Linked DNA regions of Sus scrofa. The protein of the gene in region 1 purifies or fractionates together with the protein of each later gene. This does not show direct contact. Links are inferred from orthologs where the notes say so. Each region holds a gene or a part of one and is shown in the gene's direction. Other genes may lie near its edges.

Region 1 (4,960 bases):
AAATATGGCTGGGGCTCATTTAAATCTGCCAGCGTATCTTGAAATCTCACCTTTTCATACAGCTCCAACTCCCTTGGAAAGTTTACATTTGTTTTCTGTAATCTGTTTCTGAAACTACAAATGATGGGCAAGTTCCGAGTTCCCAGTTTCCCTTCCATCTCCCACCCCTTCAGTTCTGATGGTAACAGGGGAACAGAAGGGAATGGGATAATGGACTTTGAGAAGCTGGAGCGGCAGTAGAGTTGGCCCTCCACATCCACTGGTTCCACACTGGGGATTCAGCCACCCTCATGATCGGAAATATTTTGGGGAAAAAATTCCAGAAAGTTCGAAATAGAAATAGCATTTGCTTTGGATTTACAACCATCTACGTACCATTTATTTTGCATTAAGTATTATAAGCAATCTAGAGATGATTTAAAGTATACATGACAGAGTTCCCGTTGTACAGCAGAAACGAATCCGACTAGGAGCCATGAGATTTCGAATTCGACCCCTTGCCTTGCTCAGTGGGTTAAGGATCTGGCATTGCCGTGGGCTTTAGTGTAGGTTGCAGATGTGGCTCAGATCCCGCGTTGCTGTATTGCTGTGGCTGTGGTGTAGGCAGGCAGCTGCAGCTCTGATTTGACCCCTAGCCTGGGAACTTCCATATGCCTCAGGTGCAGCCCTAAAAAGCAAAAAAAAAAAAAAAAAAAAAAGAGTATACAGGGAGATGTGCTTAGTTATCACTACACTATTTTACATAAGGGACTTGAGGCTCTCTGGATTTTGGTATTGGTTGGCGGGGTGTGTGTGTGTCCTGGAATCAATCCCCTGTAGATATCTAGGGGCTGTAATTGTGTCTATAGATCTTTTGTACATTAGTTATTTGAGTTTACCCTTTTTTCCCATGACTTCCCAATTTTTTGGCTGCAGTCACTCTTGCTCATAGATAAAATAAGAAGTTATCTGTAATATGTAGAGTATATGCTTTTAAAAGAAATTCCTTCCTGTTTTCATTCTCTGGCTTACTGTATACTATACGTGAATTGTTAGCAACTAATGGTATGATAAAATCAGTTGCAGCATCAAGCAAGTGGCTGGAGGGTATACGAAAATGGTATTATAATGCCGCCGGGTTTAATAAACTGGGTAAGTATTTGTGCTTTCTTTCTTCCTCTGTCCCCCCCCCCCCGAGAGTAGTGCTTTTGCAAGCGTTATTATGGATCCCCAAAATGTGCTAATTAATTGCACCTGTGTACATTAGAAAATTAAAAAAATTAGGTCACACTGGGAGTTCTCACTGTGGCACAGCAGGTTAAAAATCTGGCGTTATTTCTGTTGCAGTGTGGGTTTGAACCCCAGCCTGGCACAGTGAGTTAAGGATCCAGCATTGCCCAGCTGGGGTGTAGGTCACAGCTGAAGCTTAGAATTGATCCCTGGCTTGGGAACTTCCATATGATGTTGGTGTGGCAAAAAATAATAGGTTACATTTCATTTTTTAAGTCCATTTCCTTTTTTTATTATTTTGAGAAGAGAAGGATGGAATTGTCTCAAATGTTTGAGGTGGAAATGATTTCTGTTCTTGAAATATGGTAGCAGAACCTTTTTGTTATTATATGCTCCCCCTCTCAATTCCTCCACTTTGCATTTTAAAATTTAAGTTATATGAACTTTGAAAGAAGAGATTTTTCAAATGTTAATATTGTCTGACATCTTTACAATTGTTTGATGCCTGAACTTTTTTGGAATTTCATAATTTGCTATGAACTTCATCTGTTGTAATTGAAGCATCATGAAATGTTACTGGTTCCTTAACACTGTCATTTTAAGATTCTTTAATACCTTGATCTCAGAATTAAAGTAAAAGAAAGTAGAGATGTGGTTTATTGATATGTGTTTAAAAACAAGGTAGACACTTTTTGGAGTTCCCATCGTGGCTCCGTGGTTAATGAATCCTACTAGGAACCATGAGGTTTCGGGTTCAATCCCTGGCCTCGCTCAGTGGGTTAAGGATCTGGCGTTGCTGTGAGCTGTGGTCTAGGTCACAGACGCGGCTCAGGTCTGGTGTTGCTGTGGCTCTGGCGTAGGCCAGGAGCAGCAGCTCCAATTAGACCACTAGCCTGGGAACCTCCATATGCTGCGGGTGTGACCTTTAAAAAACAAAAAATAAAAAATAAATTAAAAAAAATAAAAACAAGGTAGACATTTTAAATGTTTTTTAAATTACTGTAGATAAAGTGTGAATTTTATGGCAGTAGATTTTAAAAAGCTTGTATTGTTTCCACAGTACCATTTAAGAAATAACCCATTAGTGTGTATGAAATGCATTGAGTTTCCATCATACCTAACTCTTGATATTTTGCCCGTTGGGTGAATGAAATTAAGTTATTAAGTCATAAAGATATTCTACTCGTTATTTTTAAGATGCATATTCAATCAAACACTCTTGTTTTTTTATCATAGGCTTAATGCGAGATGATACAATATATGAGGATGACGATGTAAAAGAAGCCATAAGAAGGCTTCCTGAGAACCTTTATAACGACAGGGTGTTTCGCATTAAGAGAGCACTGGACCTGACTATGAGACAGCAGATCTTGCCTAAAGAGCAGTGGACAAAATATGAGGAGGTAGTACAGCTTTTATGTATCTGATAATGGCCGTTAAGAATGGACTCTTAGGAGTTCCTGCTGTGGTGCAGTGAATTAAGGATCCTGCATTGTCTCTGTGGCAGCCCGGGTTCAATCTCCAGCTGGCGCAGTAGGCTAAGAATCCGTGTTGCCGGAGCTGTGGCGTAGGTCACAGGTAGGGCTCGGATTTGATCCCTGGCCTGGGAATTTCCATATGCTTTGGGATCAGCCAGAAAAAAAAAGGAAAGAAAAGGAATTGAGTATTGGACACAGAGAAGACATTCATTGGTGTAGTGCTTTAGAGTTCTTAAAGTTGTGTCAAATCAGTATCCTTAGGACAATCTGGTGAGGTTAGTAAAGCAAATGCTAGCTCCATTTTAGAGACGGACACATTGAGTCTTAGAGGGGAAGTGACTTCCAAAATTGCCAAGCATGTCCTTGATAGAGGATCCAGAACTAGGATCCAGGTCTTCTGCCTTCCGGGCCATTGTTCTCCTGCATACTTTCTGCTCAGATGAAAACAATGGTGTTCCTGTGATTCCATTGAGTGGCCTTCTAGCTCAATAAGAACTCTATGAAGAAAATCCTAAACCTGGGACTGCACTGAAATGAGGCCAAAGCTTGTAGATTCTCATTCTTTTTTCTTTTCTGACAGACTTTCTTGTAATAATCTATCAAAGCAGTTTATTACAATATCTTTTATGAGTTTTTACATTTTTTAGACTGCTTGAGAATATAGTTTCTTAAGTTGGAATTTAATTTTGATAGATTTGTTAAAGATCTATTAAGTATTTATGGTATATGATGAGTCTATATTATTTTTCTTTTATTCATTCTTTAGGATAAATTCTACCTTGAACCATATCTGAAAGAGGTTATCCGGGAAAGAAAAGAAAGAGAAGAATGGGCAAAGAAATAATCGTATAGTCTAAATCTGTGGATGCAGCAGTCGTCAAACTATTTTTATGAACTTGGTTAAACCCGAAATGTACAATGTAGACCTATCTGAGCTGTAAATGTATTACTTTAAATAAATATCTATTATAAATATCATTGGAGTTTTGGAATTCTAAACCTTGTCCTAATAACTGCTGAATTTATGTATCTGTTACAATTCTTTCTAAACTTTTAGGATACTTTTCAGTTAGTAGTTAACTGCGTCCTGAGCTCAGAGAAGCCACTTTAATCATTTAGAATAGTAGAACAGTAGGATGGTCATATTTATATTGCCTTTGTGGGTTAAAGCCCTAGCAAGGCCTCCCTTGCAAGGATGGAATGGAACGAGACACAAGCAGCAGTGACTTTATTTTACCTGAAGCAAATAGTACAAGCAGACTGGCTCTGCAGCTTCAAAAGTTTCCAAATGAAATGGGAGAGCATTCACCTTCTAGTTTGCCAGGATTAGGAAACAGCCCTTTTCCGCTACTGATGTCCAAATATAATAGATTTTGCATTCTGTCTTAAAAAAATTACATATGCAACCCCAGTGTGGGCCTGTATAAGTTATATATCTGTGTTCCTGTGCTAATGTATTAGAAAACAAAAAGTAGACTAGAAAAACAGGCAAAAATTGTAAAGTCAAATCATACTTTCTTCATAGACCCCAGTGACTTTTCCACTTTGGAAATGATTGTCAAAGTCTTTTGTCGGGAGTTCCCGTCGTGGCACAGTGGTTAACGAATCCGACTAGGAACCATGAGGTTGCGGGTTCGGTCCCTGCCCTTGCTCAGTGGGTTAAGGATCCGGCGTTGCCATGAGCTGTGGTGTTGGGTGCAGACGCGGCTTGGATCCCGCGTTGCTGTGGCTCTGGCGTAGGCCAGTGGCTACAGCTCCGATTCGACCCCTAGCCTGGGAACCTCCATATGCCGTGGGAGCGGCCCAAGAAATAGCTAAAAAGACAAAAAAATAAAAAGTCTATTGTAAGCATGGTATGCTAATAATGTTTAAAAGTTTTAAGTTTATAGTCTAATTTTTTAATGTAAATTAGAGCTATTCAATAATGTCATGATTCCTGGAGTTGCTACTGTGGCTCAGCAGTAACAGACCTGACTAGTATCTATGAAGATGCAGGTTTGATCCCTGGCCTCGATCAGTGGGTTAAGTATCCAGTGTTGTAGATGCAGCCGGGATCCCACATTACTGTCGCTGTGGCCTAGGCAGGTGGCTGTAGCTCCGATTCGACCCCTAGCCTGGGAACTTCTGTATGCTGCAGTTGCGCCCCTAAAAAAAAGAAAAAACAAAAAAGTAATAACATTCCCACCACTAAATTCTAAAGTGCTTTCTTTGGTCGAAGTGAAAAATGGAACTGTAGGGAGGGCCAGTATTGAAACTGCAGCCTTCATGGTATT
Region 2 (5,892 bases), on another chromosome or scaffold:
GAGAGGACTCAAGATTCCAAAGAGGGCTTACTGTGTACCCTCCCTGTGCCGGGGCCATCAGCGAATTAGACCTGGTGCTTGCCCCCCCAGTCACCTATTCTGTTTTCCTACTTCAAGCTAAGGGCCATAGAACTTAGATCCCAAGGAAAGTCTACCCTGTTCTGGGAACAACTGAGCGCTTAAAGAGAGCCTACTGTAGGCCATGCTGGGGATTCAGTAATGACCAAGACAACCTGGAACCCTGCCCTTAGAGAGTTCACAGTCCAGTGGGGAGACAAAATCATTACCAGATGGCAGGGACAACCCACCGTGGTCAGGGCTGGGATGGGAAACACAGAGGGTGGGGGTGTGGGTGTGGGTTGTTCTCGGGGAAGACTTCCTGGACCAAAAAATAGCTGATATGAGAAGTCAGGTGGGCAAAGAATGTTCCAATGGGAGGAAACAGCATAATCAAAGGCCTGGAGGTAGGCCTCACATCACTATTCAAAGACCAAAAATATCAATGTGACGGAGTCCCGTCATGGCTCAGTGGTTAACGAATCCAACTAGGAACCATGAGATTGCGGATTCAATCCCTGGCCTCGCTCAGTGCATTAAGGATCTGGTGTTGCTGTGAGCTGTGGTGTAGGTCACAGATGCGGCTCAGATCCCACATTGCTGTGGCTCTGGCGTAGGCTGGTGGCTACAGCTCCGATTAGACCCCTAGCCTGGGAACCTCCATATGCTGTGGGAGCGGCCCAAGAAATGGCAAGAAGACAAAAAAAAAAACAAAAAAAGTATATATTTATATATATATATCTCAACGTGGCTGGAGGGAGGACCATGGGTCAGTTCACAAAGGATCTGCGGACAACTATAAATATAATAAAATTCATTGAATTAAAAAAAAAAAGGATCTGTGAACCATATTAAGGAGCCTGGACTTTGTTAGAGGGTTTGGGGGGGGGGTTAAACAAAGAAATTTGGGCTTTAGGAAGATCTCATTGAAAGGGATGAATGCAGGCATGTAAACAAATAATTACAATCCTGATGAACACAGAATGCAGGAGGCCCCCAATCCAGTTAAGCCTGACACTGCCAAGTATTTTATTGGGTGGCTACTTGCTCTCCGTCCCCCATGCAGTTAGGATGGTGTAGGCCTGGTACGCAGCCTCCAAAACATAATGTGCCTTCTAAGGTTTGGGGAAACATGATAATAAGCAGGAAGATGGAGTCTGGGCATTCCTCATATAGGGATGAACGACCCTGGGAGAAAGAATGGCTTGTTTTTAATTCCTTAAGAATGATTTGTTTGCAATCCCCAGTAATTGAATTTCCAATTGGAAGTTCCAATTTTCTTTTCTTTTTTGCTTTTTAGGGCCGCACTGGTGGCATATGGAGATTCCTAGGCTAGAGGTCCAATTGGAGTTGCAACCGCCGTCCTAGCCACAGCCATAGCAACGCAGGATCCAAGCGTTGTCTGTGACCTACACCACAGCTCACCGCAACGCTGGATCCTCAACCCACTGAGCAAGGCCAGGGATCGAATCCGCAACCCCATGGTTCCTAGCTGGATTTTTTTCCTCTGTGCCATAACGGGAACTCCTGGAAATTCCAATTTTCCAATTGACCCAGTAATAATCATAACGAGAATAGGGATTTTTGTGTTTTCTTCAGCTATGCGTCCCAACACTTAATAGAAATATTTGGCACAGAGTAAACGTTCAATAAATGATTATTGCATGAATAAGAGTATTTCCGTTGGGATAGTTTCTCCACAGGGGGACTCTCCCTCCAGGACAGGACCCTGAGCCCTTCTCTCTCGGTAAGGACGGGGAGGAGACGAGACTGCGCCCACGGCTTGGAACCGCTTCAGCTCACGATTGGGCTGGGAGTGAGGACGAACAGGCATTCGGACCAATAGAAGGTCGGAGTTCTCTTGCATGGGCGTGGCCTAAGTGCTTCTGGACCAGCCCAGCCCCGCGGAAGACTCCCTTGTACCGCGTCTCGTCCCGCTTCCGGCCGGTCTTTATTCCGCTTCCGGTCCGACGCCGGCGTCTTTGCTGAGGGTCACATTGAGCTTCCAGCGGTTTCAGGCGCGACTCTAGGTGAGTGTCGAGGCCTCGGGGGCCTGGAATCCCAGCCTGGGGACTCAAGAGTCCGACCCTTGCTTCCCAGGGAATGAGATGAGGTTTCCGGCCGACGGCAGCAGGCCTCCCGGGCCCGGGGGGGTCTCTTCAAGTTAATAGTCGTAGCTAACGATTATTTAGTTTTTCCTCAATGCCTGGAACATTCCAGGCGACTTACATTGATTCATTTAATCCTCCCTCCAGCTCTATGAGGTAGGGCCTGTGATTATCCCTTTTTGACAGGGAGGCAACCGCAGTTCAGACAGTAAGCGGTTTAGCCAGAGGTCAGGATTTGGACCTAGTAGTTTGCACTGCAGGGCTTTTAATCACCAGATGTACCCCCTGTGGTTTGCCTGGGCTGTGGCATGGCTTCTTGGTGTCTGGCGCCTCCACCCCCTTAGACGTTGGAGGGGCCACAGCGGTACTCCCAGTCTACCGCACTCCTGAAATCGGGTGGATCTCGCTTCCAAAATAATTCTTCCGATCGTGTGTGTGTCCCAGCTGCTGGAGTTCCAGATAGCCCCGCTCCCGGAAAGACTCCATTTCGATGGCCCCGATCCCTACCACTACCTTGAGTCGCTTGGATTTAACATCAGTCCACTCACCTCTATGTAATCCCAGGACTTCTCTAATCATCTGGAATAGAGGCAATTTCTTTCAGGTTCCCTGACGAAAACTGTATCACCTCATTAGAAATTCTGTCATAGGTTTTTAACTCTGGGTTCACAGAATCCATAGAATTCAAGGGGTTCTAGTTCTTGAATGGGGGAAATTTTACATCTATATTTTTACTAATCTCTTATTGAAATGTAGCGTTTCCTTCAGTTAGGAGTGGAGGCAGTGGCCATAGTCGTATTAGCATCATTAAAACCACAGGTCATCTTATATCCCATTACAGTTGTAGATGTCACAAAATATCATTTTCATTCCTTTTTTTTAAGGCTGCCCCCAGGGCATATGGAAGTTCCCAAGCTGGGGGGGTGGAATCGGAGCTGCAGCTGCCAGCCTACACCACAGCCATAGCAGCTCAGGATCCTTAACCCACTGAGCAATGCCAGGAATCAAATCCACATCCTCATAGATTCTAGTGGGGTTCGTTACCACTGAGCCACCACGGGGACTCCCTCACTCATGACTATTTCGAAATTGTGTAGTTAAGTCCTCAGCTGCATATAACGGTTTTCTTTGTGATCCTTTGCAACTTCTAAATACATTTAAACATATTCTGAGAAAGGGTTCATTAGATCCCTGGGGAGTTCATGGCAGGGATCAAGATTAAGAACCCCTGCAGTGTAGGTTATGTCAGTGATGGAGTGCAGCTCCACGGCATGTGTGCTCTCTGACCTTGGGATGTCACTTAAACACCCTGTCTCTTTGTGAAACAGTAATAGTAATAGTTCCTGCCTTTTAGAGTGACTGTAGGAATAAAGCATCCTTGCCAATAGTCAGCACTCGGTGAGTGTCAACTAGTGTTATTTTGGGACAGATAAGGCCTGATTTTACCAGAGAGTTGAGCCCCCCACCCCTACCCTGCTGTGACTTCCACACTTTGCGTGTTCTTGCCTGCCTTTCATCTCTGTGTGCATGTTGAAAGGAAGGGGGCCTTGGCCTGGCTTGACTTGGTCACACCCAGCCTGTTCTGCATCCAGCCTCCACTGGGCCTGAGTGGACTGAGAGCCCTACCAGCATCCATTCTCTTTGGCCCCAGGAGTCAGCACTATGGCAGAAGACATCCAGACCAAAATCAAGAACTACCAGACAGCTCCTTTTGACAGCCGCTTCCCCAACCAGAACCAGACCAGGAACTGCTGGCAGAACTACCTGGGTGAGCAGGACATGGGTTGGAGCGGGCGGGGGCAATGTTGACCTTCCCCTGGTCCCACACCTCAAGTCACCTACCTCTTGCCTCCTCCTAGGGGTCCTTCTGCATCCTAGGCCACTTTTATTCTGAACATTCCTACCTTGCAGGGCCCACGCCCCTCCTCACCAGCTGTGTGTTCAAGATCTGGGCCAGTGGCACAAACTTTGGTTCCCGCAATGATTTTGTGTTTTGTTTTGTAAAAAACAAAAGGTTTTTTTTTTTTTTTTTGGCCATGGCATGCAACAGTTTGACGTGGGATATGGGATCGCAGTTCCCAGACCAGGGTTTAAACCCAGGTTGCAGCAGTGAAGCTCTGAGTCCTAACCACTAGACCACCACGAAGCTCCCCCTCGATGGTGTGTGTGTGTGTGTGTGCGCGCGCGTGCGCGTGTGTGCATGCGTGCATGAAATGTACATACATACAGGAGGAACATAAAACATAATGTACAAGTAAATTAATAAACTCGAATTCCCCCATGAAACTGTAATTTGGAAGAAACCTAGATGCTGCCAGCACTCAGAGCTTCCCTGCCTACTGCACTCCCTGTCTTGAAAATAGCGCTCTACCTCCCCACTGAGAGGGCGATCACATTTTGGTTTTATCACCGCTTTTGTCTCTTTGTGAATGTTATAAATACTGTGTGTATTCCTTTGTGTTTGGATTTCTTCAACAGTTTTCAAGATTCATTGATGCTGTGGCATGTATTTTGCTTGCTCTCTCTCTCTCTTTTTTTTTTTTTTTTTTTTTAAGGGCCACCCATGTATATGGAAGCTCAGCCAGGGGTTGAATTGAAGCCACAGCCACAGCAACATGGAATCCAAGCTGCATCTGGGACCTACACTGCAGTTCATGGCAATGCCAAATCCTTAACCCATTGATCAGGGCATCGAACCTGCATCCTCATGAATACTAGTCAGGTTAATTACTGCTGAGCTATAGCAGGAACTCCTATATTTTGCCCATTTTTACTGCTGTACAGTTTTTTGTTTTGTTTTGTCTTTTTGTCTTTTGTTGTTGTTGTTGTTGTTGCTGCTATTTCTTGGGCCGCTCCCGCGGCATATGGAGGTTCCCAGGCTAGGGGTTGAATCGGAGCTGTAGCCACCGGCCTACGCCAGAGCCACAGCAACGCGGGATCCGAGCCGCGTCTGCAACCTACACCACAGCTCACGGCAACGCCGGATCGTTAACCCACTGAGCAAGGGCAGGGACCGAACCCGCAACCTCATGGTTCCTAGTCGGATTCGTTAACCACTGCGCCACGACGGGAACTCCCCTACTGTACAGTTTTATATTTTATTCACAGACACATGGTATCCAGTTTGGGGTTCAAGAATCACGCTTGTATAGACATGCTTATAAATGTAATTTGGTATCCACGTGAATGCTTTTCTCTCTAGGGAGTGTGCCTAGGAGTGTAATACATGGAGTAATTTTTAGATTAATTTTTAGATTAATTTCCTACTGGTTTTAATAAATCAGACCATCCCCCTCATGTCCTCTCTAGGATGCCAGCGTCTCAGCATCAAGCCATTTTTCCCTTTCCTTGCCCCAGTTCTGGACTTGCATAATTTCCACACCTGCCTTTCACGTGGCCCTATCATTCCTGACCCCAGAATTTTCAAATTGAACAGTAGTTCTTTAGCAGCTGCACGTGTAAGGGTATGCTTTCTTTGTGAAACTTGGGGGGTGGGGTGAGGATTGTGCATAACTGGTTGTGAAGTAAAAAGTATTTCTTTGAGTTTTGATCAGAAATGTGTTCCAGCCTTGGTCTAGACTGACCCTGATCCCCTTTCTTCACAGACTTCCACCGCTGTGAGAAAGCAATGACTGCTAAAGGGGGTGACGTCTCCGTGTGCGAATGGTACCGGCGTGTGTACAAGTCTCTCTGCCCCATATCCTGGGTATGTGTCTCCTCCTGGGGC

What was found. Proteins that work in one complex are often made in the same cells at the same time.
Region 2: the proteins of UQCRB (region 1) and COX6B purify together in Homo sapiens (affinity purification with mass spectrometry; 3 studies listed by BioGRID and IntAct, counting the BioPlex papers as one, with this or other methods). This does not show direct contact. The link is inferred for Sus scrofa from reciprocal best matches to the Homo sapiens genes UQCRB and COX6B1.

Annotation. Positions count from the first base shown.
Region 1 is NC_010446.5:40,405,395-40,410,354, forward strand, and holds the end of UQCRB (ubiquinol-cytochrome c reductase binding protein), read left to right. Parts: intron 1-1,059; coding exon 1,060-1,131; intron 1,132-2,445; coding exon 2,446-2,612; intron 2,613-3,453; coding exon 3,454-3,531; 3' UTR 3,532-3,686; downstream 3,687-4,960. UniProt on the Homo sapiens protein: Component of the ubiquinol-cytochrome c oxidoreductase, a multisubunit transmembrane complex that is part of the mitochondrial electron transport chain which drives oxidative phosphorylation.
Region 2 is NC_010448.4:45,089,897-45,095,788, forward strand, and holds the start of COX6B (cytochrome c oxidase subunit 6B1), read left to right. Parts: upstream 1-1,932; 5' UTR 1,933-2,087; intron 2,088-3,702; exon of another isoform or gene 3,703-3,816; 5' UTR 3,817-3,827; coding exon 3,828-3,933; intron 3,934-5,770; coding exon 5,771-5,871; intron 5,872-5,892. UniProt on the Homo sapiens protein: Component of the cytochrome c oxidase, the last enzyme in the mitochondrial electron transport chain which drives oxidative phosphorylation.